Linked DNA regions of Bombyx mori. The protein of the gene in region 2 purifies or fractionates together with the protein of the main gene of each other region. This does not show direct contact. Links are inferred from orthologs where the notes say so. Each region holds a gene or a part of one and is shown on either strand. Other genes may lie near its edges. The genes, in order: ZZ-type zinc finger-containing protein 3, cysteine-rich protein 2-binding protein, protein Dr1, transcriptional adaptor 3, SAGA-associated factor 29, histone acetyltransferase KAT2A and molybdopterin synthase catalytic subunit.

What was found.
Region 1: the proteins of cysteine-rich protein 2-binding protein (region 2) and ZZ-type zinc finger-containing protein 3 purify together in Drosophila melanogaster (affinity purification with mass spectrometry; 4 studies listed by BioGRID). This does not show direct contact. The link is inferred for Bombyx mori from reciprocal best matches to the Drosophila melanogaster genes Atac2 and Atac1.
Region 3: the proteins of cysteine-rich protein 2-binding protein (region 2) and protein Dr1 purify together in Drosophila melanogaster (affinity purification with mass spectrometry; 4 studies listed by BioGRID). This does not show direct contact. The link is inferred for Bombyx mori from reciprocal best matches to the Drosophila melanogaster genes Atac2 and NC2beta.
Region 4: the proteins of cysteine-rich protein 2-binding protein (region 2) and transcriptional adaptor 3 purify together in Drosophila melanogaster (affinity purification with mass spectrometry; 4 studies listed by BioGRID). This does not show direct contact. The link is inferred for Bombyx mori from reciprocal best matches to the Drosophila melanogaster genes Atac2 and Ada3.
Region 5: the proteins of cysteine-rich protein 2-binding protein (region 2) and SAGA-associated factor 29 purify together in Drosophila melanogaster (affinity purification with mass spectrometry; 5 studies listed by BioGRID). This does not show direct contact. The link is inferred for Bombyx mori from reciprocal best matches to the Drosophila melanogaster genes Atac2 and Sgf29.
Region 6: the proteins of cysteine-rich protein 2-binding protein (region 2) and histone acetyltransferase KAT2A purify together in Drosophila melanogaster (affinity purification with mass spectrometry; 4 studies listed by BioGRID, with this or other methods). This does not show direct contact. The link is inferred for Bombyx mori from reciprocal best matches to the Drosophila melanogaster genes Atac2 and Gcn5.
Region 7: the proteins of cysteine-rich protein 2-binding protein (region 2) and molybdopterin synthase catalytic subunit purify together in Drosophila melanogaster (affinity purification with mass spectrometry; 4 studies listed by BioGRID, with this or other methods). This does not show direct contact. The link is inferred for Bombyx mori from reciprocal best matches to the Drosophila melanogaster genes Atac2 and Mocs2B.

The regions. Positions count from the first base shown.
Region 1 is NC_085121.1:4,879,735-4,883,458, reverse strand, and holds ZZ-type zinc finger-containing protein 3, read right to left. Parts: upstream 1,932-3,724; coding exon 951-1,931; 3' UTR 930-950; downstream 1-929.
Region 2 is NC_085111.1:1,081,704-1,086,068, reverse strand, and holds part of cysteine-rich protein 2-binding protein, read left to right. Parts: intron 1-1,467; coding exon 1,468-1,841; intron 1,842-2,865; coding exon 2,866-2,953; intron 2,954-3,899; coding exon 3,900-4,090; intron 4,091-4,365.
Region 3 is NC_085110.1:7,486,603-7,491,552, reverse strand, and holds the start of protein Dr1, read right to left. Parts: upstream 3,384-4,950; 5' UTR 2,449-3,383; coding exon 2,208-2,448; intron 2,101-2,207; coding exon 1,937-2,100; intron 479-1,936; coding exon 329-478; 3' UTR 314-328; exon of another isoform or gene 248-313; intron 1-247. UniProt on the Drosophila melanogaster protein: Bifunctional basic transcription factor. Activates transcription of DPE (Downstream Promoter Element) containing promoters while repressing transcription of promoters which contain TATA elements.
Region 4 is NC_085109.1:9,155,576-9,160,108, forward strand, and holds transcriptional adaptor 3, read right to left. Parts: upstream 2,773-4,533; 5' UTR 2,540-2,772; coding exon 1,157-2,539; 3' UTR 1,077-1,156; downstream 1-1,076.
Region 5 is NC_085125.1:4,979,836-4,983,787, reverse strand, and holds the end of SAGA-associated factor 29, read right to left. Parts: intron 3,748-3,952; exon of another isoform or gene 3,526-3,747; intron 3,259-3,525; coding exon 3,155-3,258; intron 2,718-3,154; coding exon 2,625-2,717; 3' UTR 1,080-2,624; downstream 1-1,079. UniProt on the Drosophila melanogaster protein: Component of both the SAGA and CHAT histone acetyltransferase complexes, which both predominantly acetylate histone H3.
Region 6 is NC_085120.1:4,780,126-4,784,490, forward strand, and holds part of histone acetyltransferase KAT2A, read right to left. Parts: intron 4,321-4,365; coding exon 4,157-4,320; intron 2,202-4,156; coding exon 2,069-2,201; intron 1,510-2,068; coding exon 1,437-1,509; intron 1,365-1,436; coding exon 1,289-1,364; intron 712-1,288; coding exon 567-711; intron 363-566; coding exon 202-362; intron 1-201.
Region 7 is NC_085131.1:1,996,713-2,001,825, forward strand, and holds the start of molybdopterin synthase catalytic subunit, read right to left. Parts: upstream 3,149-5,113; 5' UTR 2,880-3,148; intron 2,809-2,879; exon of another isoform or gene 2,402-2,808; intron 2,155-2,401; 5' UTR 1,839-2,154; coding exon 1,710-1,838; intron 1-1,709. Other genes in the region: putative leucine-rich repeat-containing protein DDB_G0290503, read left to right, coding at 4,983-5,113. UniProt on the Drosophila melanogaster protein: Catalytic subunit of the molybdopterin synthase complex, a complex that catalyzes the conversion of precursor Z into molybdopterin.

The DNA.
Region 1 (3,724 bases), on a different chromosome or scaffold from region 2:
TTATAAGTATTACATAAATAATATGGGTACGATTGTTTTGGAATCGTACAAGTTTTGCAATACTTTAGGGACTTGTTTCACCTAACCAGGGTGCGGCGGATATCACTTCAATATGTATCTCACTATTTTTGGACTGCAATAACACTAGGCTACCGTGAGCTTAATCCAAAATTAAAAAGAAGCACGCGATGTTAAAATAATTTTAGTTGGTGAAGTTCTGCACGTTTTATTAACACATCAATCAAAATGAGGTGCACTTTGCTGATCTCTAAGAATAAGAATGAAGTTGTAGGTCAAATCATAGGGCGTGTTGAATGAGGGTGTGATATATTGTGTTAATTATTTATGTGTAGAACACAAAACTCCCGCCAAGCAGTAGATAATGTAGTGTGTATAGAGGGTAGATAGAAGCGGGTGCGAGGCGTGCTCAGTGTTCCAGTCCAGTGGATGTTCATCACTCGCCGCGGACGCCCCAGTATTGCGTTATCACCAGAACCAGTCGGTAATTGACAGTATAGCCTAAGTTATTGAAATACGTATCCAGTTGTTTTTAAATATTCGTTTAAATTCTTGAAAATAGTAAAAATTCAGAATGTGTGGTGTTACTAAATTTGCGTCTTTTAAGCTCTTTCGGGTATCTAGTTTTAAAAACTAAATAATGGTTGAAGTGCAGTAATGTTGCAATAAATAAAAGCCGAAGAGTAATTATTAAAATTAATTGAAAAATTTCAAATCTCAATGAGTTTCATAAAAAAAAATCAGATTAGCACAACATATTGTGACCATATTTTAGTATTGTGATCCACATTACAGTGATTTGAAATGTTTCAAATCGATAAGATACTTAGAAGTTGATTAAAATTTACTTCTATGTTTTTCAAGATACTTAAAAACTATCTTTGTTGGTGACAATTTGAAAAAAACAAAAATAAGCTGAGCATTTTATTGCATCAAGTTAAATGTCTCACTGGAATAAGTCTTTCAGCAGGTAATAATCTCACCACGCAGTCTGTGCAATAGTCAGTACCCGAATTGTCTGTCCACCTTGCTCCTAAAAAACCCATTTTTTGACAACCAACACACATGGTCTTAGTTTGATAAACTGGTGTGGTTTCATCTAAAACTCTCTGTTCTTTAGCTAATTTCAATAGTTCCAACATGTATTTACCATCATTTTTAGTTTCTAAAGAGGACATATTGTCGTGTCCTTCCCCACTGTCACAAGAGTCCTCCATATTTACAGGAACATGCAATTGAGGAAAAAATGTAGATTTCTTATAAAATATAGACTTGTTTTTATCTCGTCCAACACCTTTGGGTGCTCTGCCTGGAATGGGCAGACCTGCTTTCGCTAACTTAGCGAAATACTTTTGAATCCTGCTCATAACTTGTATTGGGGTCCTTGTGCCAAGGGCTTGTGCTATTTTTTTATACCTTCTCGCTTCAATAGGCTCTTCAGGATAAATTTCTAACAATTCCTCTAATCTTTTTTGCTCTTCACATGACCATAACTGATTGAACGTCTCTGGTTTATTGTCTGTGAACTTCCGCCCTCTAACTTTGAAACTAGAATCTAATTCTTCCTTACATTGTTTTGACTCACTAGCACCTATTGTGTCTGTAACATCTATTCCATACTCATTCCAGTTTATATTGGGCAAATCAGAGATAGTTTGATGAGCAGGAAATTGAATGTTTCCGGATCTGAGATCATCAATAAACGTCAAAGGGTCATCCAAGGCTTTATTCTGAGATTCAGCTAAAGTTTCTATGTCTTTTAGAGCTTGTGTCTTTTGTGCTTCTAATTTAACTATGTATTTGAGTAACTTGCAGTAGTCTTTGTTTCCTCTTAAGGCTAAATGGTCTGATTCAAATGCAAATTCATCTTCTGACTTCTCACTTTCATTTTCATATTCATCACAGCTGTCCATGACCTTTAAATTGATAAAAATATGAATAATAGTTTCGGAATGAAAATAGCGAAAAATCCTAAAAACTTGAGTGTAAAAATAAAAAATAAAATAAACAGTGTTCATAACAAAAAATGTAAGCATGAATTCAGAAGCTCTTCAGTTGAAGGCTGGTCGGACCGGTGAGTTCAGTCTATTTCTTTTATTTATAACAGGTAAAAAATATTTAATACCAACCTATTCACTAGGGCTTTAACAGTTTGCTATAAAGTAGACGTTAAAATAAATAAACATTACATTCTTTATGTACGCAGAACTTCTTCGAAAGGCTACTTGGTTACTGACATAGATTATACACTTAATATGTTACTGACAGTTTCATAGATTAAACACATAAACGTCAAAGAATCTATATCTGAAAAAAATGAAAGTGAGATTCTAAACCAATGAGATTTTTACATCGAACTAAGAATTTATTTCCAACAATTGTTCCTATTTAAGGAAAATGAGTGTACACGATAAATTTATATTTTTTTATGATCAAGTGAAACGCAAGAATAACAAGTAAAACAAAGCGCCATCTAGGTGTTTATGCACACAACAAAACCAGTAGTTTGTTTCTAAAATTTTAACACAGATGGCAATGCTCGTGCTTCCCACAAGTTTCAGTAAAAGTCAAACAGATGACTAACATTCAATGCTATTTGTTGTTAATAAACAATGGTAATTTCGTGCCATTTATAGTGTTTTATTAAGACTGTGTGAAAGCTGATCAAAATATCTCAATTTTTTTATAAATCATCATGTCTATGTGTTTTTATTGGCAGTGGCGCTATATTAGCATAAATATAGTGACCATTATTTTTGTAAAATAAAAACAGGATAACGAGCAATAAAAAAAAACAACAACCTAGCATATAATATATGAAGGCGTTTTTTATTTTATTACATTGGTAGGTGACCGAGCACACGGCCTACCTGATGTTGAGTGGTTGCCGGAGGCCACAGACATCTACAACGTAAATGCCACCACTAAGGTAAGTGGAGACAGATTTCTAAGGTCTCCGTTTTTACAGTAGAACGGCTGCCCCACCCTTCAAATCGAAACGCATTACTGTTTCACGGCAGAAATAGGCAGGGTGGTGGTACCTACCCTACCCGTGCGAACTCACAAAGCGTCCACCAGTAATTACGCAAATTATAATTTTGCGGGTTTGTTTTTTTATTTATTTTTTATTTTTTAGATGGGTGGACGAGCTCACGGCCCACCTGATGCTAAGTGGTACCGGAGCCAATAGACATCTACAACGTAAATGCCACCAACCACCTTGAGACATGAGTTCTAAGGTCTCAATTCAGTACAACGGCTGCCCACCCTTCAAACCGAAACGCATTAGTGCTTCACGGCAGAAATAGGCGGGTTGATGGTACCTACCGGTACGGACGTCGGATTACGTACGGATGTACTAGACGTCGTTCTACCGTTGATTTTTGTTACACGATGTTATTCCTTCACCGTGAAAGTCAATCGTTAACATTTGTTGAGCAGTTCATTAGAAAAATTGGTACCCGCCTGGGATTCGAACATCGGTGCATTGCTCAACACGAATGCACCGGACGTCTTATCCTTTCGTTTGTTACTCTTCACCTTCTAATCATTTATATAAATATTTGTACAATCAATTGGTGTGTGTGAAATTGGACATAGTTATTTTTTTATTTTTTTTATTGCTTAGATGGATGGACGAGCTCACAGCCCACCTGGTGTTAAGTGGTTACTGGAGCCCATAGACATCTACAACGTAAATGCGCCA
Region 2 (4,365 bases):
CTAAGGCCAATGCAAGCGGAGCACCAATAAAGAAAGTTTTAAAATCGGGGTTTTAATCCCTTTTGAGAACTTCCACTGCGTGCGCTGCGGAAACAGTTAAAGTTTCACGAAAATAATGTATGAGAGAATTGTTCCCCTTTAAAAGATCTTTATACAGTTTTTTTTTTTATCAAGATGATATTAAACCCTATCAAATAAATACGTTATTCATTACAACATTGAAACACCCAAATCACTTCAAGATAGGCTTTGACAGTTATAGATTTTTCTGGATTTCTCTGAGATCCCATCATCAGATCTTGATGTAAACAGAACCATTCGGGAAGTCTATTCTTTCGAACAAAAAAAAAGAATTATCAGAATCAGTTTAAGCATTCTCTAGAAATCGGTGAACATACATAGTTAAAAAACTATGGTCGAATTGATAACTTCCTCTTTTGAAATCGGTTAAAAAGCGTGATTTTAGTACCTTTAATAACAACTTAACATTCTATTATTCAAAAATATTTTCACCTTCTACGTTAATGAAGAGGTGGGTAAAATTTAGCGTTATGGCAAAGTAACTATTCCACGCGGACGATGTCGCGGGCAAAAGCTAGTAGTATACATATATAGTGGTTTGTACTGTACCAAACTGCACATATCTGCTGCGATATAAACCTTCAAGATTAAATGGATAGGAGACTGATAGGGGAGAAGACAAAGTGGGGAGCGGCCACCACGTTGTGATGTCCTCGGACTCTGCCCCCGGTGGACCGTGAACTCGTTTAACCATAACTATCTACATATTAAAATGAATGCGTATCTTCAATATGTTCTTGATTCATCTGATGATCATGAAACTTGGTTGTTGACATTCCAGGAAGGTTCGCATCGTGGTACCATCAGCGCAAGACGGGTGGCGCGCAATTAGTTCAACAAACCTGTTTAATTCATACATTTAGCGACAGTTATGGCTGGACCTAGCCCCATTTGAGCCACACTGATATCTATACTTAATATTATAAAGAGAAAATATTTGTTTGTTTGTGTTGAATAGGCTCCGAAACTAATGAACCGATTTGAAAAATTCTTTCACTGTTTGGAAGCTACACCATTCCCGAGAGACATAGGCTATAAATCTTTTTTGAAAAAATTAGGGATCCTTACTTAAACTCCGATAATGTAACCCAAGGTGTAAAAAAATTACCTAAAATATTCTTTACATCGCGTGCCCTTCGAAAACTATTGATGATAGAATAAAATAATGTACTACGAATTTGTAGAACACATTATTATTCAAAAGTGTTGCGACAGCATATGTCTAACTATTATAGCTATGCCGCAATAAGTGTTCTTTTATTTAAAAAAATAAAACAATGTCAAATATCGTTGAAATTTTTGTTAAAGACCCGAGCGGAGAAGGAGCGGGCCGCTCGTTGTTAATAAAAAATTTAGAATATATCATAATTATTTTTCGTCTTCTAGAGTGACACCTCAAGCGTAACCTCCTTCCAGCATACGCTCTTCTTCTACGACTCTGACTCCCGAAGCGGCTCAGAACAAGAAAAGAAACTGGAAACAAAACCAAAAAAGACAGAAGAGAAACCAGTAAGAAGAGAATCTCTTTTCTCTACCGAACTCAATTCAGAGGATCTGCCGTGGACGACGACTCCTCGCGCGGAGACGAACGTGGTGGAAATGACTCAATACGAAGAAGTACAGCTCTTGAAGCAGATCGAAGGGCTGGTGACTAAAGTAAAGGACTCTGCAAGACGAGCCTCTCTTCACAGGCTGAAGGCAAAACTGACTCTGCGCAGGCTGAAGAGACACAAGCATTTACCTATATTCACTTTTGACAAGTCAGTATGTCTTTTTGGTTAGACATATGGCATGATTGTAATTTTAATTTAACTAGTGGTCCCACGGTAGTTGAAATTCGACTGTAATTAATTGAAATTATAAGTTTGTACACTATTATGACTCTATTGTCAAACAATTATTATACTTCTATAATCACAGATTTCGCCAAGACTACACTTTAGGTAAATGTTAATAAAGACAAACAATATTTAATCTATTCTCAATTTGACCATAGACGTCAAGAACAAAAGTTTGACAATAAATAGTATGCATGCGTGTGTGTGTCAAACACATGGTAGTGTGTGTAATGTTTTTTTATTGATTTAATGTATTTTTTAGGCATAAATTAAAAAAATATTAACATTCTACACTCCTTCTCTATATTCTCTATAAGTGTGGGAAATTTCATACTCCTCCGTCCGCGCAATTTTCGAAAAAAGGGATACAAAGTTTTTCCTTCACGTATTAATATATAGATTACCAATACTACGGTATAATAATAGGCATGACTAAAGGCAGGTCGGGTTGATTCCGCTTGACTGTCTCCGCGAAGTGATCACCGGCTTCGTTTTGAGGATCTAGATAACAATAATACAATAAATAAATATTAATTGGAAAACAATTCCCATGCGGTTGTCTGAGCCCGAGCTGATTGATATCGTGGGGGTAAGGAACGACTGGGCATGGTTTCTCTTGAATTTCTTTTTCGGATTTACATCACGTAACTATTTCTTGTTTACACAATAATATGTAACATAGCGACCCGCCCTCGCTTCGCTTCGGAAACATTAAAACACACATGAAACCAAAAAAAAATAATTAAAAAAAGTAGCCTATGTTCATCAGGGACAATGTCGGCTTCTAATGGAAAAAGAATTTTTCAAATCGGTCCAGTAGTTTCGGAGCCTATTCGAAACAAACAAACAAACAAATCTTTCCTCTTTATAATATTATATTATATGTAACATATTGCTGTCCTTGTCATGCTAAGCTAAGAGTTGTCTTTTTTTTTATATCATTCAGGACGGTAAAGTTGCTGAGCGGTCACGCCGCTGAGGATCCGCGGCAGGTCAACAACGTCGAGAGAGTGCTGGACAGGTTCCAGAGATCGGTGAGACACGAAAACAATCAATATACAGGGTGTCCCAGAAAGAATGGATAATCCTGAAACGCCTCATAGTAGAACTATTGGGAACTCAAAAATAATAATAAAAAAAATTATTTCTTAGGTAGTACCCAAATTAAAAATAAAGAAAAAATAAAAAAAATCCTGATTTTTAAGTTCAGATTAACTTTTATAAAAAATTACACTAGCTACTCACTCATACGATTTCCTGCATATTCCTTAGTGTAGTCCATGTAGAATATTATAACACCAAAAAGCCTATGGATTTCATTTATTTGTAGCTGTTGTATATTCCAGAAACGCACAGCAGTATGGAAAGTATCAACTTTTTTTTTAAATACGTAATTTGGGCAATTATGGTACACAGCGGCTTGGCTCTGCCCCTGGCATTGCTGAAGTCCATGGGCGACGGTAACCACTCACCATAACGTGAGCCGTATGCTCGTCTGCCTACAAGGGCAATAAAAAAAAACCTGAAAACTTTTTTTTTGTGTTTCCAATAGCTCTACTATGAGGTGTTTCAGGATTATTCATTTTTTTATTTTATTTTTTATTTTTTTATTGCTTAGATGGGTGGACGAGCTCACAGCCCACCTGGTGTTAAGTGGTTACTGGAGCCCATAGACATCTACAACGTAAATGCGCCACCCACCTTGAGATATAAGTTCTAAGGTCTCAAGTTTAGTTACAAGGGCTGCCCCGCCCTTCAAACCGAAACGCATTACTGCTTCACGGCAGAAATAGGCAGGGTGGTGGTACCTACCCGTGCGGACTCACAACAGGTCCTACCACCAGTAAGAATACCTTTTTGGGGCACCCTGTATATATTTTTTTAGGAAATTCTCTGTTGTATGTAGTAGTCATAGCTAAAGTTGAAACCGGCGGACGATTGCTTCTAAATGATCTATTAAAAATTTTACTCTTTGTTTAGTTCCTTATGGATAACCTCTGCGGTACTATAGCAAGTACAACCCACGGAACCCTCCTGCTGTCGCGCATGGAAGCCCTGCCCTTCAGGTCTCCGTACTCCGGAGTCACCCTCAAGCCTTACATAAGACGGGACACCGAAACCTGCACCACCTGGATGAAGCTAATGGACGAGCTGCTGAGGAAAACTCACAGGTGATTGATTAGTTTCAATCTTAGACCTAATTGTTTCGAAATCAAATTAATTGGGATTTAAATTTTGATTTTTATATCTAATAGAGCAGTCGCCATATTGTAAATACTTAATAATATCTTATTGTCTTATTATTGAAAATTTTCAGCAGTAGTTTTAAATGAAATAGAGACGTCAACGTCCTACGACGAGGTGACCGATAATGTCCACTTACCATCTCATGAGCCGTGTTTCCGATCACTATTGTTAGTCTTTGAGTTTAGAGAGCATGAGAAAT
Region 3 (4,950 bases), on a different chromosome or scaffold from region 2:
TTTAGAAGAGACAGTGGTATACTTATTGTATAACCATGTATTAACTGGCATCATAGTTCATACACTTAATAATTGGAATTTCACTATGCACTCTCTTCAAATACGCCTCATTATATTATGGTTTTTAGGTTACATACTATCAAGTTTTAGATTCATCTTTAGTTTGAGAGCGACATAGGATCTATAGAAGTAATTTAAAATTTAGTGTGAAATTTTGTTCACATTAAGTAAATTTAAATTAAATACATGACACAAACAACATTTATATTATAACACAGCCAGAAACAAAACTGTCATAATATTAAACAATAACCTAATTAAATGTTTCTTATGAGTAATCATCATCTTCATCATCATCAGTTCTTGGAGCAGTTGTAGGTGGTACATATGGTTGTGCATTTCCTTCAACACCAACAAGTCCTTGTTGTTGTAGTAAAAGCCACTGTTGCTGTTCTTGTTTTGCTTGTTCCTCACGGGCCTGTGTTAAATAAAGTTTAATTATAAATTGGGTATTTTTTAAAAGTGAATTTTTTTAGGCGCATTGAGAGTAATATTTAACTCACGATAGTTAGGCAGTTACTTCGTTACAGCTTGAGAGAAAAGATACAATTTAAGAGGAGCGAGAATGAGAAAATAGACAGATCGTCTCGCAAACCACTAGACCTTTGAGAGGGAGATAGTGAGCTAGGTCGTTTCTCACACATTCTGTTTACGAGCGTCGGCCACTAGATGGCAATAAGATAATGACGTATATTTTAATGGAGGATTTATAAGAAAAAATATTTTTTTTTATATATAATTTAAAACATATTGATGCTTGAAAGGCAAACATGACTAAGCGACAATAACTGCTTTGTACATAAATGATAGGCAATAACCATATTCGACTTGCAAAAAATATATATTTCTAGGTCTATTAAAATAATTTCAATCCTACAGCTACTAGCTAGATTCTACTACAGCTAGACTCATTAAAATAAATTTTGTTGTCAGGTATTTCAACTTTAAATTAGTCTACTGTAAAGTTCACGCATTGTCGCTTAGTCACATTTGCCTTTCAAGCGTCGATATATAAAAGGATAAGAGGTCATTTCTCGGAGAGAAATTTGATTTAATGATTAAAAATTAAGAAAACCACATGGACTAAGTTAAACCAGTCATAAAAGTTAAACCAGTATATACACAAACTATTTGCCATGAGATATAATTATATTAAAATAATATCTACAATTGGTTCTCATATTGACCATAAGTAATTATGAAAATGTGGTTTTATCATACTCTGTCTCCTGTTAACATATCTAACAAAATAAGATATCAAATACAGGGGCTTGCTCGATTCCATATTTTTTTATGAACACTTTTTTCCTACTTATTTTCCCAAAGCTTAAGAAATACAACATCTAGGTTATTACAAAGTGCTTACTCGAGTTTGTTCTATATGAACCTTGATTGAAGCCTCAATTGTATTGTTTAACAGCTTGTATTGCATGATTGCTGTTACACCTCAAAGGGTTAGGTTAATAAGTGTTCTCTAAAAGTTCCTGTACATTCCTGAGTAGAAAGGACTAAAGTATGAAGCTTAAGCTGACATTTAAATGGGGTGATTACTTTGAATTAAATTGAATCAAATTGGTTTTTTTTTGTATGGTCTATATAACAATCCCATCCTTATGTTGTTTAAATGACATTAGAGACCAATTTATTATTGACCAGTTTGTATGAAGATCAACAAATCCACATCTAATGTTTACATTAAATGAATTGAAACATAATTGCTCTATAATATAAATAGGGTTTATTACATATGTCGGATTAGTCTGATTGGTTTGGTAAGATTGTTACTTCATTTTTTTCATTTCAAAATCATGACCACAGACACATTTTTATTGAATTTCATAATGGTTAAGAAAATACTGATTTAAATTGTTTAAACCTTTGCAAACAGTTCTTGTTGTTGTCTCAATAATTCTTCTTCTGGAATGCCTAAATTCTCAAGGCGTGTGCTTTGTCGTCTTCTTTTAGCCGCCACTGCTTTACAATCTTTTAAGACAGCTTCTGCTTCTATTGTGTAGTCACTAAATCCTAATCTGTCTAGGGCTGAAAATTAGTTTGATACTGAAGCTTAAAGTTAAATTCGTAAAAAAAATATGTTCGTGTTCCTTATGATAATATTAATTGTCTTTTAACAATAGTGAAATATATACCTGTAAGGACATGTTCTGCATTAATTGTTTTCTTATTGCTTTGATTACATACTTCATTGGCTTCAGAACTAATCAAATGTATGAATTCAGTGCAGCAATTTAGGATTAACTCCCTTGACTCGAACGCTACACGAACAGAAGGCACTAACTCTTTTATCATTTTATTTATACTAGCTCTTGGTAGAGTCAGTTCGTCCTCTTCTGAAGGTGGTGGACAAAGTTCACGCTCTGGACTTCCCATGGTAACGAATTTATGAACGCCCACTTCTATTTTTTTGTGGTAGCCTTTGGGCCACTTTGGGCCATTAAGTGTATAATCTATGCTTTGGGCCACTTTGACTCTTTTTTTAAGAGATTTTATGACCTGGTAACTAAGACCTTTAAGTCATGTCTTATTTTACTTTATATTCTTAATTTTATGAAAAATGATAATATGGAGTGAAATGAAATGAAGATGATTAATTTGAGACATTAATCAACTGGGATGAAATTTAATGAAATTAAATGATATGGGATGAAATATAATCGCAGTAAAATGGTGGTCATTTACTGAGATTTTTTCAGTGGACTTTTTGGAGGAACCTGAGAAGTTACGTCCAGCAGCTTTGTTTCATTTTCCCACATTTGTGCACTTTCACAGATATTAAACAGTTAATAAACCACCATTATTACACATTTAAACCTGAAGAAACACTAAATAGACAAAATAAAACAAATCACACAACTTCACTCCTCGCGTTCCCGCCAAAAAGTCTTCACTTTTACTCTTTTTTTTAAGAGATTTTATGACCTGGTAACTGAGACCTTTAAGTCATGTCTTATTTTACTTTATATTCTTAATTTTATGAAAAATGATAATATGGAGTGAAATGAAATGAAGATGATTAATTTGAAACATTAATCAACTGGCATGAAATTTAATGAAATGAGATGATATGGGATGAAATATAATCGCAGTAAAATGGTGGTCATTTACTGAGATTTTTTCAGTGGATTTTTTGGACGAATCCGAGAAGTTACGTCCAGCAGCTTTGTTTCATTTTCCCACATTTGTGCACTTTCACAGATATTAAACAGTTAATAAACCACCGTTATTACACATTTAAACCTGAAGAAACACTAAATAGACAAAATAAAACAAATCACACAACTTCACTCCTCGCGTTCCCGCCAAAAAGTCCAACTTTGACTCTCAAATATAATATGCATAGATTATACACTTAATATATTTGATATACCGGTAAAATGGGGCGATTAGGGACAAATTCCAACTTTATGACCAATTTTAAGGTAGTTGTTGATGTATATAATGCTATATCAAGATCAAAATGATGGAGTCTTGGGGGCATCTTTGTTGTCCAATTTAAAACTATGCAACTAGCATTCCAGTTTAAGCAAAAAAAGCAAAAATAGGTGTAATCCCTATTTACCCGGAAATTGCGGTTAATTGGGACGAAATGAGAAATTTGCTAGGGTTGGCACTACTTGGTTTTAATTAATTAATTTATTTAGTTGCACCAACAAAGTGATCATCAATAAAAAACATTGAAAAACTGACAAAAGTACATGGCAGATGTCACCTCAATTATAGGTGCAATCGACAGTGCATTAACAATAAAAAAAATATAATATATAAAACTTGATTACATTTAATTATTTGTGATTAATTTATATTTACTTGGGAAAGTATCCGCGACAGTTTTTTCCTGTAAGTTGTGAAATAATTAGAAAAACATCTATTTCATCACTTAAAGTTAGTTCAGCGCAATCGGACAACTACGAATGAGCATTGACGGAGACCGCGCTACCGTGGACATTATTGTAGTCCCAAAGGATTCTGTTTAAGGGAGAGTAAGCGCCTAAACTCGAACGAGCGGGCTTTCTTATAAGCGGTTTATATTTCTTCATTCTTAGTAAGTACTTAGGGCCTGATATTTTTATCTGGGTTAAGAGATTAGGTGTGTCCGTTATTCCATAGATTAATCAGGTGGATACCCCCACTCTGGACAAATATTAATATATGTTATGATATATTACTTAGACATTTTTGTCCACCTTGAGATTTCATTGTTCTTGTTACATGTCTGTGCAAAATCGACTTACTTATATTAAATTGCTTAGCTATTTCAACTAAAGACTTATTCCCAATTTCGTAGGCTTCTATTGCTGTTTTTAATATTAAGGGATCATATCTCTTTATAAGGCTTTGCATTCTGATACGTACACGCGAGGCATATCTAAAAATAGAAAACAATACGTACCTAACTTATAATATAAATATTTACCAAACAATAAAATAACACATTGATAATTTTGAATAAAAGTTCTAGACAAAAACATCATGAATAAACTAGATTTTTACCAACAAATTTAAATAATATTGTTATAACTACATAGACAACCCTACAAACCTGTACCTATTTGTACTTAGGTCGTTTCCATTTCGTTTATTCTCATCCCAATTGACCTCTTTTTCGTTGTAATTTGTACCTAAGACGTCCCCAATATCCCCAAAAACAACAGATTTTTACATGTATTTTTATTTTATCAAATACATTAAAACCAATAACAACTGAGAGTTACCTTTAATATATATGATGGTTCAAACACTAAATAACGTTTATAAATCACAGTCGTCTTCTATTATTATCAAATGAATAAAAGAGAGCAAAGTTTCTAGCACTAAAATAATTACCACCACAGGAAGTTAATTTGAAACGCGATTTTTTATAAGTTAGCAGCT
Region 4 (4,533 bases), on a different chromosome or scaffold from region 2:
TGAACTGTACTGTGAACAACTGATGAGATTAAAGCAAGAAGTTGAGAGAAAGCGGCCGGAATTAATCAAGAGAAGAGGTGTAATTTTTCATCATGATAATGCTAGACCTCACACATCTTTAGCCAATCAGCAAAAATTAAGAGCCTGGCTGTGAGGTGTTAATGCATCCGCCGTATAGTCCTGACCTTGCAGCTTCAGATTTCCACCTGCTTTGGTCTCTTTAGAATTTTTTAGGCAGTGTCAGGTTAACATCACAAGAGCACTACCAAAATCAATTGTCGCAGTATATTGATCAGAACCTCCAAAAAACCTACAAGATAGCAAAAAGTTATTGAACAAAATGGTATTAGTTAAATATAAATAAACTATATTAAAAATGTCGTGAATTTTCTTAAAAAATGTTAAGAAACTTTTCCCCAACCTTATATGAGTCGACTATTATCAAAGCCGGCAATGTGACTTTTGGACAATTATTGGTAAATCAGAAAAACGAATTATTGACTTTGTATTCCATTGGCAGTCACAAAACTCTTCTTAACTACATCTTAGATAAATAACAGGTTAAGTATTAACCTTTATTTAATGCAGGTTTTGAACCGTATTCTTTGAAGGAGACGATTATATTCAAATCAATCTGTATTGACATACCAATAACATTTTTTTGTCCAAATGCACAGATTGCCACCTTTGATAATAGACGACTCGTATATAACAAAATAAAATGAGGTAATACAAAATCTGCAGTAAATAAAAAATTTGCATTAGCATTCATTAGTTCTGTTCTGTGCAGATTCACAAGACATCTTACCACCAGAGTAATTGTGCAAATTATAAACTTGCAGGTTTGATTTTTTTTACATGATGAGAAGTCCCTACACGGTGGAAGTCTATTGTGAACATTTGTTAAATACATATTTCATTAGAATAATTGGTACCCACCTGCGGGATTCAAACATTGTTGCATCACTAGATAAAAATGCACTAAACATCTTATCCTTTAAAAAGTCAAGGCCATAATCCAAGGCCAAGGTCAAATTTGCCAAATAAGTAGTTAGTAGTCACAGTAATAAAACAAGTATTTTTCCATATTTAATTCAACAGATACTCCTAGAATAATTACCACATGTTATTTTTGTATCATGCCGAACACTAATATCTAATTTGAATTTGGACCCGTTTGTGGCAAAGCATTGATTTCTTTGTTTAGCCTTATTTGTTCATTTATTGCTTTCCAAGCATCTTCTTTTTCCTTCTTAGTAACAGGGCGCTTCTTTTGTTTAGCCGCTACCATCTTTTTATAAATATCAATACATTCTAGATCCACTTGATCCAGTTGCTTTTTCAGATTCAGTCTAATCATTTCTTGTTTACACAAACCAATTAAATTTTTAAGATTTCGACAATTCTCTTTACGTACAGCTGTTAATTCTGTTTGACATTTTTTAATCTCTGCTAGTATTTCATCATCAGCTGGATTAGTGAGAGGTGGTAAATCCTCTGGATCAAGTATTCCTTGTTCAACCAATTCCTTCCTCAAACACTTTTCTAATGTTAATGAATTCTTGTAGCCACTTTTAGTGGTGGAGACCATTTTTACTTTAATATCAGGTATTTCATAAGACATCACATTCTCTTCCATAAGAGCAGAGACTAATCTTTGTGTCAAAGGTCCAGTTATCATGCTTTCTGATGACTTTTCTAGCTTCTTACGAGCATGAGATGCATCTGGAGACATAGATGATTTTTGCTTATTAGGATTAGATGCATTTTGATCTTCAGCAAGATGTTCATCTGCCCAAACTTCTGAGTAATGCTTTCCTAATGGAGGGATCGGAGGTAGTGTGGTGTTACTGCTTTGAGCTAATAAGGACTCTAAAAATTTTATATCATCCAATGTTACAGGAGCACAATAAGGCTCTACTGAATTCCAAAATTTATATGGGATATTATTTTTAGGCAGTGCTAATTGTGAAAGTTCAAGTTTTACAGAGTTGTCTGAATTCACTAAATCATTAGAGTAGGTATGAGATCCTGAGGAAGCGTTTGAGAAATTTTTAAATTTAGGCACTTTTGGCTGATTGGATAATTTTGTGTAGTCTTTAGTTTTAACCACTTTGTCATCTTGAAATTTTCTTTTTACAGGATACTGTAGCTGTTTACCGGCTGCTTTGCCTTTTTTTTCTCTTTTAGATTCATTCGAATCTATGCTTTCTATTTCAGATTGAAAATATCTGCATCGTAGGGCAGTATTACATAGCAATGACTCTAATTCCAACTGTAACCCATCCAGCTCATCCATCCCAATAGGTTCATCAGCAGATCTCGCTGCAACCGCAGTAAATCGTGGCAAAAGCACTGCATTATCTTGTATTTTAATGTATGGAATTGGGCATGTCTCAACTTTGATTTTGGCAGTAGAAACAGAACCTGGAATCTTTGTTGGTTTAGTGTATGGTGTAATTCCAGGGCTTGATGGCTTTCCATTGTCTTTGTTAGCTAGTCTGCCTTTGCTATTATGATGCATCCTCTTACCCAGCATCTCGATTCAATATAATTTACCCGCCAAAATAAATAACACAAGCCCAATATTCTACGCTAATCTACATTATTTATTGCACTGAAATCTTGGAATCACTTTAAAATGTTAGACTTTAAAGTACTTAACGTTAATATCACGTCTATGACTCAACTTGTGTTGATTTTTTAAGACAAAAGCGTAATTCTTAAAGTTTCTCTAGTACAGCAAAACAAATGCCGAAATCACAGAACAAAATGGCGTTCAGAAAATAAAACTTATTTTTTATTTGATACCGTTTTTAACACAGAAGCTTTACCTTTTTTTTAAGGGATTTTATGACCTGGTAACTAAGACCTTTAAGTCATTTCTGATTTTAAATTATATTCATATTTTTATGAAAAATGATATTATGGAGTGAAATGAAATGAATATGATTAATTTGAGACATTAATCAACTGGGATGAAATTAAATGAAATGAGATGAGATGATATGGGATGAAATATAATCTCAGTAAAATGGTGGTCATTTACTAAGATTTTTTCAGTGGACTTTGTGGAGGATCCCGAGAAGTTACGTCCAGCGGCTTTGTTTCTTTTTCCCACATTTGTGCACTTTCACAGATATTAAACAGTTAATAAACCACCGTTATTACACATTTAAACCTGAAGAAACACTAAATAGACAAAATAAAACAAATCACACAACTTCATTCCTCGCGTTCCCGCCAAAAAGTCAGAAGTTTTACCTACTTTTTTTTTAAGTGATTTTACGACCTGGTAACTAAGACCTTTAAGTCATGTCTTATTTTAATTTATATTCATATTTTTATGAAAAATGATAATATGGGGTGAAATGAAATGAAAATGATTAATTTGAGACATTAATCAACTGGGATGAAATTAAATGAAATGAGATGAGATGATATGGGATGAAATATAATCTCAGTAAAATGGTGGTCATTTACTAAGATTTTTTCAGTGGACTTTGTGGAGGATCCCGAGAAGTTACGTCCAGCGGCTTTGTTTCTTTTTCCCACATTTGTGCACTTTCACAGATATTAAACAGTTAATAAACCACCGTTATTACACATTTAAACCTGAAGAAACACTAAATAGACAAAATAAAACAAATCACACAACTTCACTCCTCGCGTTCCCGCCAAAAAGTCCAGTTTTACCTACATAAAGTCAATGTTGCCACTTGTCATTTGTCAGTCAACAGATTGTCAGATTAGTACCTATATACCTACCTAATTCAAAGAGAAAAATGAAGGAATACCATATCACCGAAAAAAGTGTACGTTAAAAGAGAACCAATTAAGGTAGCGCCATAGTAGCTAGTCGAAAAAATTTAAGAACCGCCTTAAACTACCACACTGCAAATATTTATTTATTTATAACTTCTTATACTAGAAAGTATAAAGGCGGATTTAATGCCATAGACATTCTCTACCAGTCTACCTTAGGGGAGTGCAGAGATGAAGCTTGGTAGGTGTAGCGTGAAGGTGATATTACTTAAACATGTGTATATATAACATACATAATATTTATAGATACAAATACTCATACTTAAATAAATACATAGACGTAAATATATAGATATACATAAATATATACATATACATATCATAAATATATACATATAAAAACATATATAAACAAACATTATCAATTAGATGACGAATGATCGGCGGCGACGATGAAAGCATACGGAGTGTAAGTGTAACTCGCTGACACACGGAGATAACCTGGGCTCGCCAACTCAGACTGGAGTCAATAAGTAGGCCTAGGTCCTTTACAACTGAACACCAGTTGATGGTTGAGCCATCATATATAACCGATGGGACATATGCCATATCCAACCGATATAACAAGCGTTGACTTCCAACAATAATAGCCTGACATTTGGCGAGATACACGCTTATGCCGAAACCGTCAGACCAGGATTTAATGTAGGACAGATCGTTATTTATTTTTCCAACTGCCGAAGACACACTATCGACTCCAGCCTCAGC
Region 5 (3,952 bases), on a different chromosome or scaffold from region 2:
CAACGAATGATTGGACACGTATCAGGTTCACTTGTTGACAATGAAGTGTGGCCAGTCTCTAAGCTAATGTTTTGCTGTAAAATAAACTTTTAAGGTCTTCATCCCTGATGAGTGACAGAACCAGATAGTAACTAATTGTAATACAATAACTAAACGTGTAATACACGCTTCTACTGACAAAATGAAAGAGCTTTGTTGATATTACCTTAGTTTATTTATAGTTGTGTCGTTTTAAAGTAAACTGCGCAATGAAGAAATGTTCATTGATATTGTTGATTTATTAATTATATTTTTTACAGGTTTTTCGAGTTCGTCCAAATACAGCAAAAATACGAGTCTATAATGAATTTATGTTTTTAGTCATTTTCATTTAGTACCAAATATTTGCTTTTAGCTCTCTAGCCGTGGTGACTATCAATGGAAAATCTGTTTTTGGCGATATATCACTTGTATGTATTAACAGAAGTCACAATAATCAGATGTTTAATTATAAATCAATACTGGCTTTATATGTATAACAATATAATACATTGGCATTGTACTCGAGATTCCAGGCTGGCAAAACATAGCATTTTGATCTCATTTCTTATTTATGTTGAATGTATAGTATCGATATGCCATAGTGGAAAAGTTGCTCATTTCTTACGTAAGATTTAAGTTGAATTTCCATAGGCTGTGTCAGTATGAATTGATGTATGTGGGCATGTGATGAAACTAGTTTTTTTTAAATATTTATTTATAAGTATGGTTGCCATTATATGTCCTACGTTTGTAGACATTTTTATTTTTCATTATGACTAACTTTATTTTACTCACAAAACATTAAAGCATACACATTATAAGAAAATATAAACACTTATGTCAAAGAAGTTCCTTTACCATTTTTTATTATTGTTTAAAAAGCGAGGTATATTTTATTTTCTTCCATTAATATTACTCTTTAGTTTGTAAGTGATCAAAGAACTTATAAAAATCAATTCGTTTTAACAACAAATCAAAATTTAATTGTATATTTCGGACATAAACATTGTATCATGTATTCTGTAGATTTTACATAACCTAAGGAATTAAAAGATATGTAATCTTAAAATGTTTATTTTATTATGACTACTAGAGACTACTGCTACTACTAAGTTTTGATAAAAATATTTGTCTGTGTTGACCACTACAGTTTACAGGGTGACTAAATCTAATTCCTTCAAAATAGGTAATCAACATATTATTACCATAATAAACACTTAAACTAGATACATAACGCTAGATGAAGGTTATGGAGAATTTTTGTCTCTTTAGCAGCTGTCAATTAAATTTTTTATAAAACTTATCTAAAACGGTAGGCAGCGGCTTGGCTCTGCCCCTGGCATTGCTGATGCCCACGGGCGATGGTAATTACTCTTCAGGTGCGCCGTATACTCATCCTACGGAACACTGCAGCGAGGCCTGTCATAGCGAAAGGGTCAACAACTTTAAATCTAGTAATTTACTTTAGTGATTCATAAAAAAGCGTAACGGATGCGAAGATTTAATTCGTAAACGTTGTTTTATTTTAAATAATGGATATAATAATATTTATGATTAAATAACTAACGTGTTTGGTTTTACATCTGTAATGTAATATTAATTTTGTAAGTGTAATTTTATGAATTATGTGAAAAACTATCTACATACAACAACGTCAATGAGATCGAAATCTGGGCTTGTAGGACTAACACTACGAAGTCACGGAGGCCCCTGGACATCTCATCCGTATTGACATTTCGAACAGACGCGAACTGTTCTTAGTGTCCTAAGTGGATAAAATTAGAATAGGTAATACTTAAATTCGTGCATTTTTCGTCATTCTTAAATTAGCTGCATTAACTGAATACACAGTTACAGTTAACACAATAACTTATTTCATTTTAATAAATCTTATGATTTATATACAGCAAGTTTTTGTTCTATAAATCTGCCATATGGCGTATCTAAGGACTATATGTCTACAATCTAAATATTATTCATGTACCATTTAAATTTTTTAAAATTAAACATGCAACACTTAGGTCTCTCTTACTATCTCTCGTTGGCGTCTATTGTGAACAAGCACTAAACCTTTCACAAAATTATTTTTGTCATCGTCTATACACACTGGTCCGGTCCACTAAATCCGCAAATCACATCGCACCACAACGATTACTAACCGATCACCACATTAAAATCAAAATGTACATCCAACAAATTCTCTGACACACTCGACAAAATTCTAACGAAAAACTACACTTTATAAAGGCTGAATCACACACAAGCGGCGTGCTTATAGCATCCTTCAACTGGTCACAGACAGTATAAAGTATCAACCGTTTGGAAGCATTGAAAGGCGAGTTTAGCCTGTCGCTTCATGTAATTCGTAGAGATTAATGTTTCTTGAAACAATATTCGAGAATTCTTGTGTAAAGCCTTTAAATTTCAAATTCAGCTATGTATTATGATCATCATTTTAATATGCGAAAGAAAATTTGTCTTCGATTCAGCTTGTGTAATGTAGAACAACAGTACGCATTACGCGTGGGTGTCGGCCGAGGTGACTAGGTAGCGGTAGCGGAAGCGGAGGAGGACGCGGCGGCGGGCGGGCGGTGCGGGCGGCATCAGGTGGCACGGCCCTTGCCCTCCTTGATGGCGATGACGTAGCGCTGCGCCACGCGCTCCGGGGGCGAGTAGCCGTCCGCGTACGACGAATCCTGCAGGCAAAAGGTTTTTTTTTTTTTGTTATACTGGAGCTAATTTGAAACAAGGCCTTATAGGAATATAGTTTAGCGGTCTTGCCATAGTTAAAAAATATATTTTATAATAAAATCTGGTACAAAGTATGTAGTTATAATATTTTTGCATTACTTTTAAAATATTATTATACATTTTCATATACATATATGTAATTCTACTGTACGTGTGTATGTCACTGAACTCCTAAACGGCTGGACCGATTTGAATGAATTTTTTTGTATGCGTTTGGTTCACGCCTTGGATGGTTTAAATTCGCAAATCAGCCTGGCAGATGGCGCTGCAGTCGGTATCTACTTTATTTATTTTTCCTAGAAAAATTATATGGCAAAAGAACTTTTGCCGGGTCAACTAGTTAGTTAGTATATAGAATTGTAATAATATTATAAATTTTTACCTCGAACAACACTTCATAGGGGTCAGCAGCGCTCGCGGGCAGCCGGTTGACTACGGCGCGATAGAAGCACGTGGTCTGCGGGTATAGCGCCATCACCACCGCACCTTTGAAATCATTTTATCTATACTAATATATAAATGTACAGTGGTTTTGACGACTTGAAACTTGTTATCCATGTAGAAAATACATGTACTTAATGGATAGGCTAATATTTATATGAGTGTTGGACTCCCTACACCAGTTGCGGGGGCGTTAATGATGAAAATCTTTGTGTGGGTGAGAAATAATAATGTTAATTTTAAATGCCCAGCGAAGCGGACCGGGAACAGCTAGTTCTTTATATTTACACAAATAAATAACAATTTATTTTGATAGGAATAATCTTCGATCAACAATAGTAACTAGATTTCGGGTCGGTGCATAAAATCCGTCTCGTCAAATAACAGCGCACTTGAAATGTGAGCTCTTATTTTGTTTAGTTCACTTCAAACACAGCCAATGTCAACCCGTCTCACAATACCGCAGTGTGTATTCAAAAGTTGCAAAAATAAGGCCCGAAAAAGCAATTTAACGGCCGGAGTATCTTACTTTCGGTAAGTACATGAAGTATAAACTATATTGTAAGCTTTAAACTTATAAATAATATTAAATTTTGAACAAAATTACCGATTTTTAACCACCGCTACAAATGTTGGCCAAGGCTCGGCCAACACATGGACAAACTTTTGCTTAACAGAACAGTAAATGCATGGAGTAGATTTGTGTTGTAATAATTTTTTAAAAATTGTTAGCAGCACT
Region 6 (4,365 bases), on a different chromosome or scaffold from region 2:
TTAACGACAATGGGAAGACCCTTCACCGAGCGGGTGATATTGCTCGGTAGACCGACGGTCCGTATATAGTGTTGTTCGGAACTTGTATATATGCGAGCTTATCTTGAAAATGTCGTAAGCGACATTCAGGCATCAATTGCGTTGTATGATGGCTACCCACCACAACAACATTAATAATTTCAAATATCAGTAACGACGTACCTCTTTCTGCATCCTAATAACCGAAGTGAACTGTGTGTATACTATTCTAGGGTTCAATTCGCAGTGCATGAGGGTTGCTCCCTCGTAGTCCTTTATGTATCCTTGGTACATCGCCCTCGGCAGCTTAATGTCTTTACTGAAACCCTGCTTCTTGAAGTAGCCTGTGGAATTAAACAGACCAGGCTCGGAGATCAGAGGATCTTTAGTGACTGTATTCTGTGAGTGTCAGACGTAGCCTTCTGAGGCTTGACAATCAAAAGTTATGAGGTAACACATAAAAAAAACAGTCGAATTGAGAACCACCTCCTCTTTTGAAGTCGGTTAAAAAAGGAGCTACGTTACCTTGAGAAACTAATCGCGCTCACCTATTGCAAATTCATCAGCGAAGGTAAGGAAGTGCAGTATATTGTTTCGGATGTGGTAATCCTTGAGGTGGTTCATGAGGTGAGTGCCGTATCCTTTCACTTGTTCGTTGGACGTGACCGCACAGAATACTATCTCGCTGAAGCCCTGTCAACAATTTTGAAGACGTGAGTGGAAGAAGGGGTTAAGTACGATTTTTGATATTTTACATCGAATGAAGGTGTTATGTGCCTATAAACCTTATTTATTACTAGTGTTAGGACCTCTTGTGTCCGCACGGGTAGGTATCACCGCCCTACCTATTTCTGCCGTGAAGCAGGGCAGCCGTTGTAACCTTAGAACTTATATCTCAAGGTGGGTGGCGCATTTACGTTGTAGATGTCTATGGGCTCCAGTAACCACTTAACACCAGGTGGGCTGTGAGCTCGTCCCCCGTGTGAGCCACCCGCGCGGACTCACAAGAGGTCCTACCACCAGTAATTACGCAAATTATAATTTTGCGGGTTTGATTTTTATTACACGATGTTATTCCTTCACCGTGAAAGTCAATCGTGAACATTTGTTGAGTACGTATTTCATTAGAAAAATTGGTACCCGCCTGCGGGATTCGAACACCGGTGCATCGCTACATACGAATGCACCGGACGTCTTATCCTTTAGGACACGACGACTTAAAACTTTAATTTTAAAATTCGCTAACACAACTATATATCCCTTTACATACTTGCGAATGGAATGTCCTGAAGCAGATGCCACCAATCGGCCTGCCTTCTTTGATCAGAGCCAATGTCTTGTGTTTCCTGTAAGTATATTCAAATTTAAGCTTTATGTATGGCTTCATAAAAGTCATTATCCTTTGAATTAATACTCACGGATCGAACACTAATTGCGATATGTATTCTTTAGTCATTTCCGGTAGTTGGTGGGAGAAAACGTTGTGGAGACCTGGAAGCAACGCCGTACACTTCATTATATGTATATTTACTGATAATATTACAATCAGTACAGTTAAGTTGTTATTAAAATAATTATAAATAGAAATGCTTTAACAAAAACCAACTTCAAATAGGAAAAAAAAAGATATTCCAAAACAAACTATGTAATATAAACTAAGAACAATCATCATCGAAATCGGTTGGCGTGATATTGAGTTATTGAGTTATTCATCTATTTGTCGCGCACGTACTTAATGCAAATTTAAGACTTATATGGTTTTCTTATGGATACCGTTATCAGAACTGGACTAAATTGGGAATAAAATGGGACCACACGGGAAGCGTCAGCTTTTAAATTAAAAAAAAGAATCATCAAAATCGATTCACTCAGACAAAAGTTATGAGGCAACAAACATAAAAAAAACATAGAGTCGAATTGAGAACCTCCTTCTTTTTGAAGTCGGCTAAAAAAAAATCTATAACCATGTTTACAATCCGACCGAGACTATAATAATATAAATTAACGTTTATTAATTTTAATTATATTTAGATAATTTCTACATACTCACCGATCAACCATAGCATTGTCTGTTTGTTGACGGGCCCAGTCAGAGAGTTGCCGATCACATGGAACTCTATTAATTTTCTTTGTTCTTCGATTTTGGCCGCCTCGTCGCGCGGTGCTTGCGTTTGGAATAATGCCTGAGGAATTAATCGATCATTTGGTTTGTTTTGTATAATGTTAAATTATATCCGTATCAGTATTTTCATTCGGCCTTTTTCTAGTGCGGTATAATCAGAAGATCCAGTTAGGACGAGACAGCGATCGTGCATACAACTAACACTGGTAGGCAGCGGCCTGGCTCTGCCCCTGGCATTGCTGAAGTCCATGGGCGACTGTAACCACTCACCATCAGGTGGGCCGTATGCTCGTCTGCCTACAAGGGCTCACTTTGCTTGGTTTATGGGTCGTGAAGAAATACCCCTAGACTGAGAGTTTGTTAGCCTATCTAGGATAATAAAATGTAGCGACGTCAAGGTTTTTTTAAACTTCAACTGTAATGCGAGCACAAGCCGTGAACGAGTTAACGGTTTGAAAAATCACACAGGGTTGCCATTCCAATATTTAAATATGACTAAATATAAAGTTTACTATTAGTACTCTACCCTGTATGGTAGAGTTTACGGCAATAATTTAGTTTTTTTTAAGGGATTTTATGACCTGGTAACTAAGACCTTTACGTAGTCTTATTTTAATTTTAATGTAAACTTTTTTATATGAAAAATGATATGAAATGAAATGAAGTTGATTAATATGAAACATGGCATGAAATGAAATGGAGATGAGATGATATGGGATGAAATATAATCTCAATAAAATCGTGGTCATTTACTTGAGACTTTTTCAGAGGACTTTTTGGAGGACCCCGAGGAGCTACGTTCAGCGGCTTTGTTTAATTTACTTACATTTGTGCACTTTCACAGATACCAAACAGTTAATAAACCACCGTTATTACATATTTAAACCTGAAGAAACACTAAATAGACAAAACAAATCACACAACTTCACTCCTCGCGTTCCCGTCAAAAAGTCCGTAACAATTTAGTCGAGTGTAATAAATAGATAGAAAGTAGCGGAAATAGTTGGAGGAGGCCTTTGTCGAAAGGCACACCGGAACGAGTTACATTTTGTAGCAGAACTGTAGATTTTATTTTTATATTTTGTTTTCATATATCAAATTGTAATTTTTTTTAATCTACTTAAAATTGTTAGCGTAAACTGTAGAATTTTCGGGAAATAAAGGTATTATTATTATTACTAGCGGTCCCCTGGTAGTCGAAATGCGACTATAATTAATTGAAATTAAAAGTTTGTGCACTATGATTCTATTGTGAAACACTATTACTTTCTATAATCACAGATTTCCCCAACTTCAGACAAATAGGTACTAATAAAGACAAACAATGTTTAATCTGTGCTCAATTTGACCACAGATTATAAGCAATAAGAAAGGTATGACAATAAACAAATAGTATGCATGTGTGTCTGTGTGTCTAATACATTTATTTTCTCCTACCTACGCCGAAAGTTCGGTTTTCCTTCCAGTGTACAGGGAAGAAAGTCTAACTCTTCCTCCCTGGCGCATGCGCGTTAGTGTCTACGTCTGCTCTCACGCACCTAAAATTCTCCGCCATTTTTGTACTCGGGTAGTTTGCAATATTGCGTTTAGTGTAAAAGTGAAATAAACAAAAGGCAATAAAATTTAATAGTGAAGTATTAAACAAAGATGAATTCATCAGACAGTTCTTATTCAATTAGTAGTAGTTTGTTTAAAAATTAAAAAACAGTTAAATTTAATTTATTTTTTTATATTTTATTTTTATTATTTTTTATAGTTGGATGCGGAAGGCGGAGGACCGCATTCTGTGGAAGGCATTGGGGAAGGCCTATGTCCAGCAAAGGCTGATGATGATGATGATGATGATATAAAAAAATATTAACATTCTGCACTCCTTCTCTATATTCTCTATAAGTGTGGTAAATTTCATAATTCTTCGTCCGCGCAAAAGTGGTACAAAGTTTTTGCTTCACGCATTATTATATAGATAATAAGCAAATAAAGCTGTTCGTTCGTCGGGAGCGAGCGCGCACGTACGTCCGGTCCGCACATGTAGTTGGGGTCGGAGATAGTCGCCACGATGTCGGCCACCGTGCGCTGGCTGACGTCATCGCTGCCCTCAGAGCACACGCGGCGCCGCTTGCCGCCCGTCCCGCTCACACTCACGCCCGCACGCTTCACGCCCTCCTGCTTTATCGAACCTGCAACATAGCGTTTGTTTAGTGCCTACACTATCGACACGCTAT
Region 7 (5,113 bases), on a different chromosome or scaffold from region 2:
AAAGCCCGGAGAGTCGATCGAGAGGATTCGATAGTATTTTTTATTTATTGCTTAGATGGATGGACGAGCTCACAGCCCACCTGCTGTTAAGTGATTACTGGAGCCCATAGACATCTACAACGTAAATGCGCCACCCACCTTGAGATATCAGTTCTAAGGTCTCTGTATAGTTCCAACGACTACCCCACCCTTCAAACCGAAACGCATTACTGCTTCACGGCAGAAATAAGCAGGGTGGTGGTACCTACCCGCGCGGACTCTCAAGAGGTCCTACCACATGTTAAAACTTTTATTGTACACGTTACGTTTTTATTACACGATGTTATTCCTTCACCGTGGAAGTCAATCGTGAACATTTGTTGAGTACGTATTTCATTAGAAAAATTGGTACCCGCCTGCGGGGTTCGAACACCGGTGCAATCGCTATATACGAATGCACCGGACGTCTTATCCTTTAGGCCACGACGACTTCAATAAATGTCGTCGGATGTTCTTTAGACGACGGTACCTTTGATTTGCCTCGTGGCCTGGGTCGGATATGTAATTTTAGGCGGTCACGATAAGGTTTATTTCTAATGAAATACGTACTTAGTACACGTTCACGAATGACTTCCACATCGTGTAATAAAAATCCGATATAATAGTAACGTGCGTAATTACTAAACAATTGAGATGTAGATGTATGTATATGGACTCCAGTAACCACTGAACAACAGGTGGGCCGTGAGCTCGTTACGAAAATATATTTTTTTTATCTCGAAACTAGGAAGAAACAACCTTCTAGTTCAAAGTGGCCCGCAGCATACCGTATGAACAGACTTAACTTGAAAACAAAGGTATAAAAATGAGTTTAAATTTTTGAAATATAATCATTGCTAACATCGGTATGACTAAACAATCTCTTGTTATTTACTGCATTTACATGAATATTTTTTACTTCACCACATTTATCTGACTTGGTTGTTGTTTACAAAAAGTGTTCAAAGAGGTCAAACTATAATATAAAATAAATCATTTCTTATCTATGGAACGTAAACAACTATATCTGTGTTGGAAATTGTAAATTTAGAAGATGCAAATAGACAAAGAGTTATGGCCATATTTTCTTTATTTATATCTTCAGCTACGCACGGACGGGTTGGTAAGCTCATGGGGTTCATCCTGAGAGAATTTGCTAACAATAGTCCTAGTAAGAGAAATCCAATCCAGCGAGAAATTAAGTTGGTTATGTATTTGGGCTAGGTTGCTCTTCAAACTCTTTTTGTCTAAGCCTCAGTTTTTTCATTGCAACAATTTCCCCACCCTTTAAACGGAAACTCATTACGGCTTCGCGGAAAATATAGGCAGGATGGTGGTACTTACCCGCGTGGGCTCAGATATGATGCCCTATCACCAATAATTACACAAAAATTATAATTATTGCGGGTTCAATTTTTATAACAAGTAATGTTATTCCTTTATTATAGAAATAATTTGTGAACATTTGTTAACCTATTTCATTAAGAAAATTGCGTCGCTTGATGTGAATGCACCGGGTGCCATATCCTGTAGATCACGAAGAATTTGCTGCCTATAGTGACATGAAATATCACTTAACACTAAAATGGTTAAAAGCCATTACCGTTTTGAACAACGGGCTTCACATACAGAATCTTAACAAAATACCTATTTTCCTAATGACTAGAAAATTTTAAATAATACAAGTTTACCTTTTTTCCTTCAAAATTGTCTCTAGTTGTGCCAATAAACAATGAAATTGCACCGCAGCTATCATCAGTTACAAGTTCACTTATTTCTTCGACTGACAGTCTATCTACTGTTAATTTTATATGGTCCATCCTGTGAAATACTATTTAACCTCCACTCAATGGTGGTATAACAGCTAAGTTGTCTTGTTCATTAATTTCTATATCTACTGTATCCTCACACACTACCTCGTTCTTAGCCAAAAGTATATTTTTCTTAATACTGTTTAAGTTATATTTATCGCATATAATATTCAACAATCTCTGATATCCCAACTTTCTTGGTAAAGTTATGGAAGTTTCTCTAACTCCCGACAATTCTTTTGATTTAGCAAAAAACAATAGCTTCACTGTTACAGTATCTTCTATATTTTCTATTTCCATAATTTACCATAGTCAATCTACCAGCCTGCAATAAAAAGATGTGTTATTATAAACCTGTTTGTAAAAAAAAGTTGCTTAAGTAAAAATAAATAAAAAACATTACAACAAAATAATCAATATAGCTACTGTCAATACTGCTTCTAAATCTGTGTAAATAGTAAACAATAATGATTAAAATACATACATGTAATTTGAATTGAAAAAAAAAACTAGAAAGTACAAAATGGTGCTGCAAAATCTAAAGAAAAATATTTAAAAAATTAAATTCTTACTTTATTTCGAATTGATCCATAAAAGACTAAATATGTTGTACTTGTTGTAGGATAATAAAAAGGTTTTTAATTTCCGTTATACACTTTCCATGTACATCAAAAGTATTTTAAAAAATTATATATCTACTGACTGCATCACCGCGGCGTTTCATTTACTTACTGACTGATTCACTCGACTTACCTACATGAATGTCGTGGATATAGTTTTTATTTTATGGGCGACTGCTTTAAACATGTTGCTGATCATTGGACCGTGTCGGAATTTCACGATCTAATTACATACACCTACTTTCATACAATAGATACCTATACTTTACACAGTATAATATTATTAGATATTTTCAAGTACGTCGTTGGTACAAATGTCATTACAGCGATCATTTAATTTAAACTGTGTGATTTTTATAACTAGGAGGTTATACCGTAACCTTGAAAATCGTAACATTTTATTTATTAAAGTAATTTTAAATATACTTACTGTATCTTCTGTCTTAAATGGTAGTAATGTAAGGGTTTTTTTTCCTCAAACTTAGATTAGAAATTTCACTTCTTTAAAATTCTTACTAACTATTAGGTGTTATAATTAAGTTAAAATTCAAATTTTAAAACTCAAAAGCAAAACAAGAGACAGCTGTTATAGTTTATGAATTAATAACTTTTTGTTTGATCCCAAAAAACAGGCAAAGGAATAGTATTTCATAGGCTTTGTTTCAAAAAGTAAATTCTTTTATCTATCTATCTCTTAGGTTTATGGCGTTTCCTTTTAGATTTCGCCAATGTCAAGTGTATATAATACTCTGCTTTCTATAGCGGGCTTCGTGAATTAAATTAAAGTAAATTCTTTTGCACGAGAAGCGTAAAGGTGTCATTACCAAGCCATACTATTACCTTTTTTAAGGTATAAAAAAGGTAATAGTTTAAAGTTTGAATGATATCAGTTTTCGTAATAGGCCAACCAGCCAAGTCCAGTGATTTTGCTCCATTTCCATCTCCTAGAATCTAGGACCTAGATAGTTGAAAAGACCATATTAGTTTAGTATATTAGTTGCAGAAATACCTAATTGGAAAAATATTACAATGGCATATCCAATTTCATTCTTGTGTTCTAGTCATAGTAGATTTACACTTTTCTTTCTTGAATCTTATCCATACAACGGTTGAATGAAAGAGATCGCTTTAGAAGACAGGACCACACCTTGTAATTAAATTTTTATAGCATATCTACTTCGCTCCCATTGTACTAAGAAAAATTACCCGTGATAAGGTGCATGCGAAAATTTAACATGAAAATTAAGAGTCAATAACAAAACTCAATTTTACATTTATAGTATTTTAAAAATATAGATATTCTTTTAGGATCTCTTTTTAGGGGTTCAAAAAAACCCTCTTTCCAAGCGAGAGTTGTTGATAAAATACTTAAAATTTAAACTTAAATTATAAATATGTCTGTTATTAACTACTATCTCTCCATCATATTAAATCATGTTTATGTTGTATTTTCATGTCTCAGGCCTATTTATAAAATATCTTATAATCCAATTAATAATCATCATATGTTCAATAGTAGTGATCCGTCTTTGCACGGGATGAATAATGATATTGTGAATTATGTAATAATGAATAAATATAATCATATAATGTATAAACTAATTATTGCTGAAAGTACATCATAATACAAGTAAAAGAAAGTACATTATTGTTTACAGTAATGGCCATAGGTAATATATTGTAATTACATCACGTGTATTATTTTTACTAAGCTTTATGTAAAAGCTTCAATATTGACAGTTCTCTTTCAAATGAGAGAAATTACACTTTCAACCCCTACTTTTTAACTCTCAAAGAAAATATTCCTAGAAGTGAAATTTTGAAAAACAGCAACAAAAGTTTACGCATAAACGATAATATGTTTATTTTTTAACAAGTAGCGGAAATACGACATTTCGTATTTTAAAATGACAGTGTCGAAATGTTGTAGCGATGGCTCTATAGGTTGACACTCTCTTATTATACATTAAGGTTAATCCTATGAGTTTAGATTTGAATTCTTTCGGTGATCATGTCTCCTGCCGTTTGACATTCTTTTTCTTCCACTTGACCATAGATAATGCTTAAACACCTTCGCAACTCGATTTAATTTTACGTCACTATCGATACTAACTGCACTACCATAATCTGACAATTGACAGTTCAAATTGAAAAAGTTACCGAATTCAAACGGTTTTCAATCCGGTATGTTTGTGTGCTGCTTCTATGTATACTGATCGTTATTTTTTGGCAAGATTCCCTCTGGGTGCGCTTCTTATATAAAATGGACTACGTACAACGTACAACACAAAAAGGATAAAAATAGAATACGAATGCGAGTTTCAGTTCAGTGCTCGGACATTTTTGTTTTCTAATGACATACTTACCGAACCGTTTATTTTACGAAATAGAAATCAGTGAAATTATTTGAAAAATATTTGATGTTAGTGTTGGATTGAATATTTACTTGTGTCTTCAGATCGTGACGTGTCGAGCAGAGCAGAGTCTTAAAAACGCTACAATCAACCGTTGTGTGTTTAGTGATATATAAAAAATGGCAAATCGCGATGAACCGATGGATATAGACAGCTTAGAGAGTGATTTTGATAATAAAGAGAATACATATCACAATAATGTGTTACCATGTACAGAGAAAGGATATGAGGAGTTGGATGTGTCAGAACT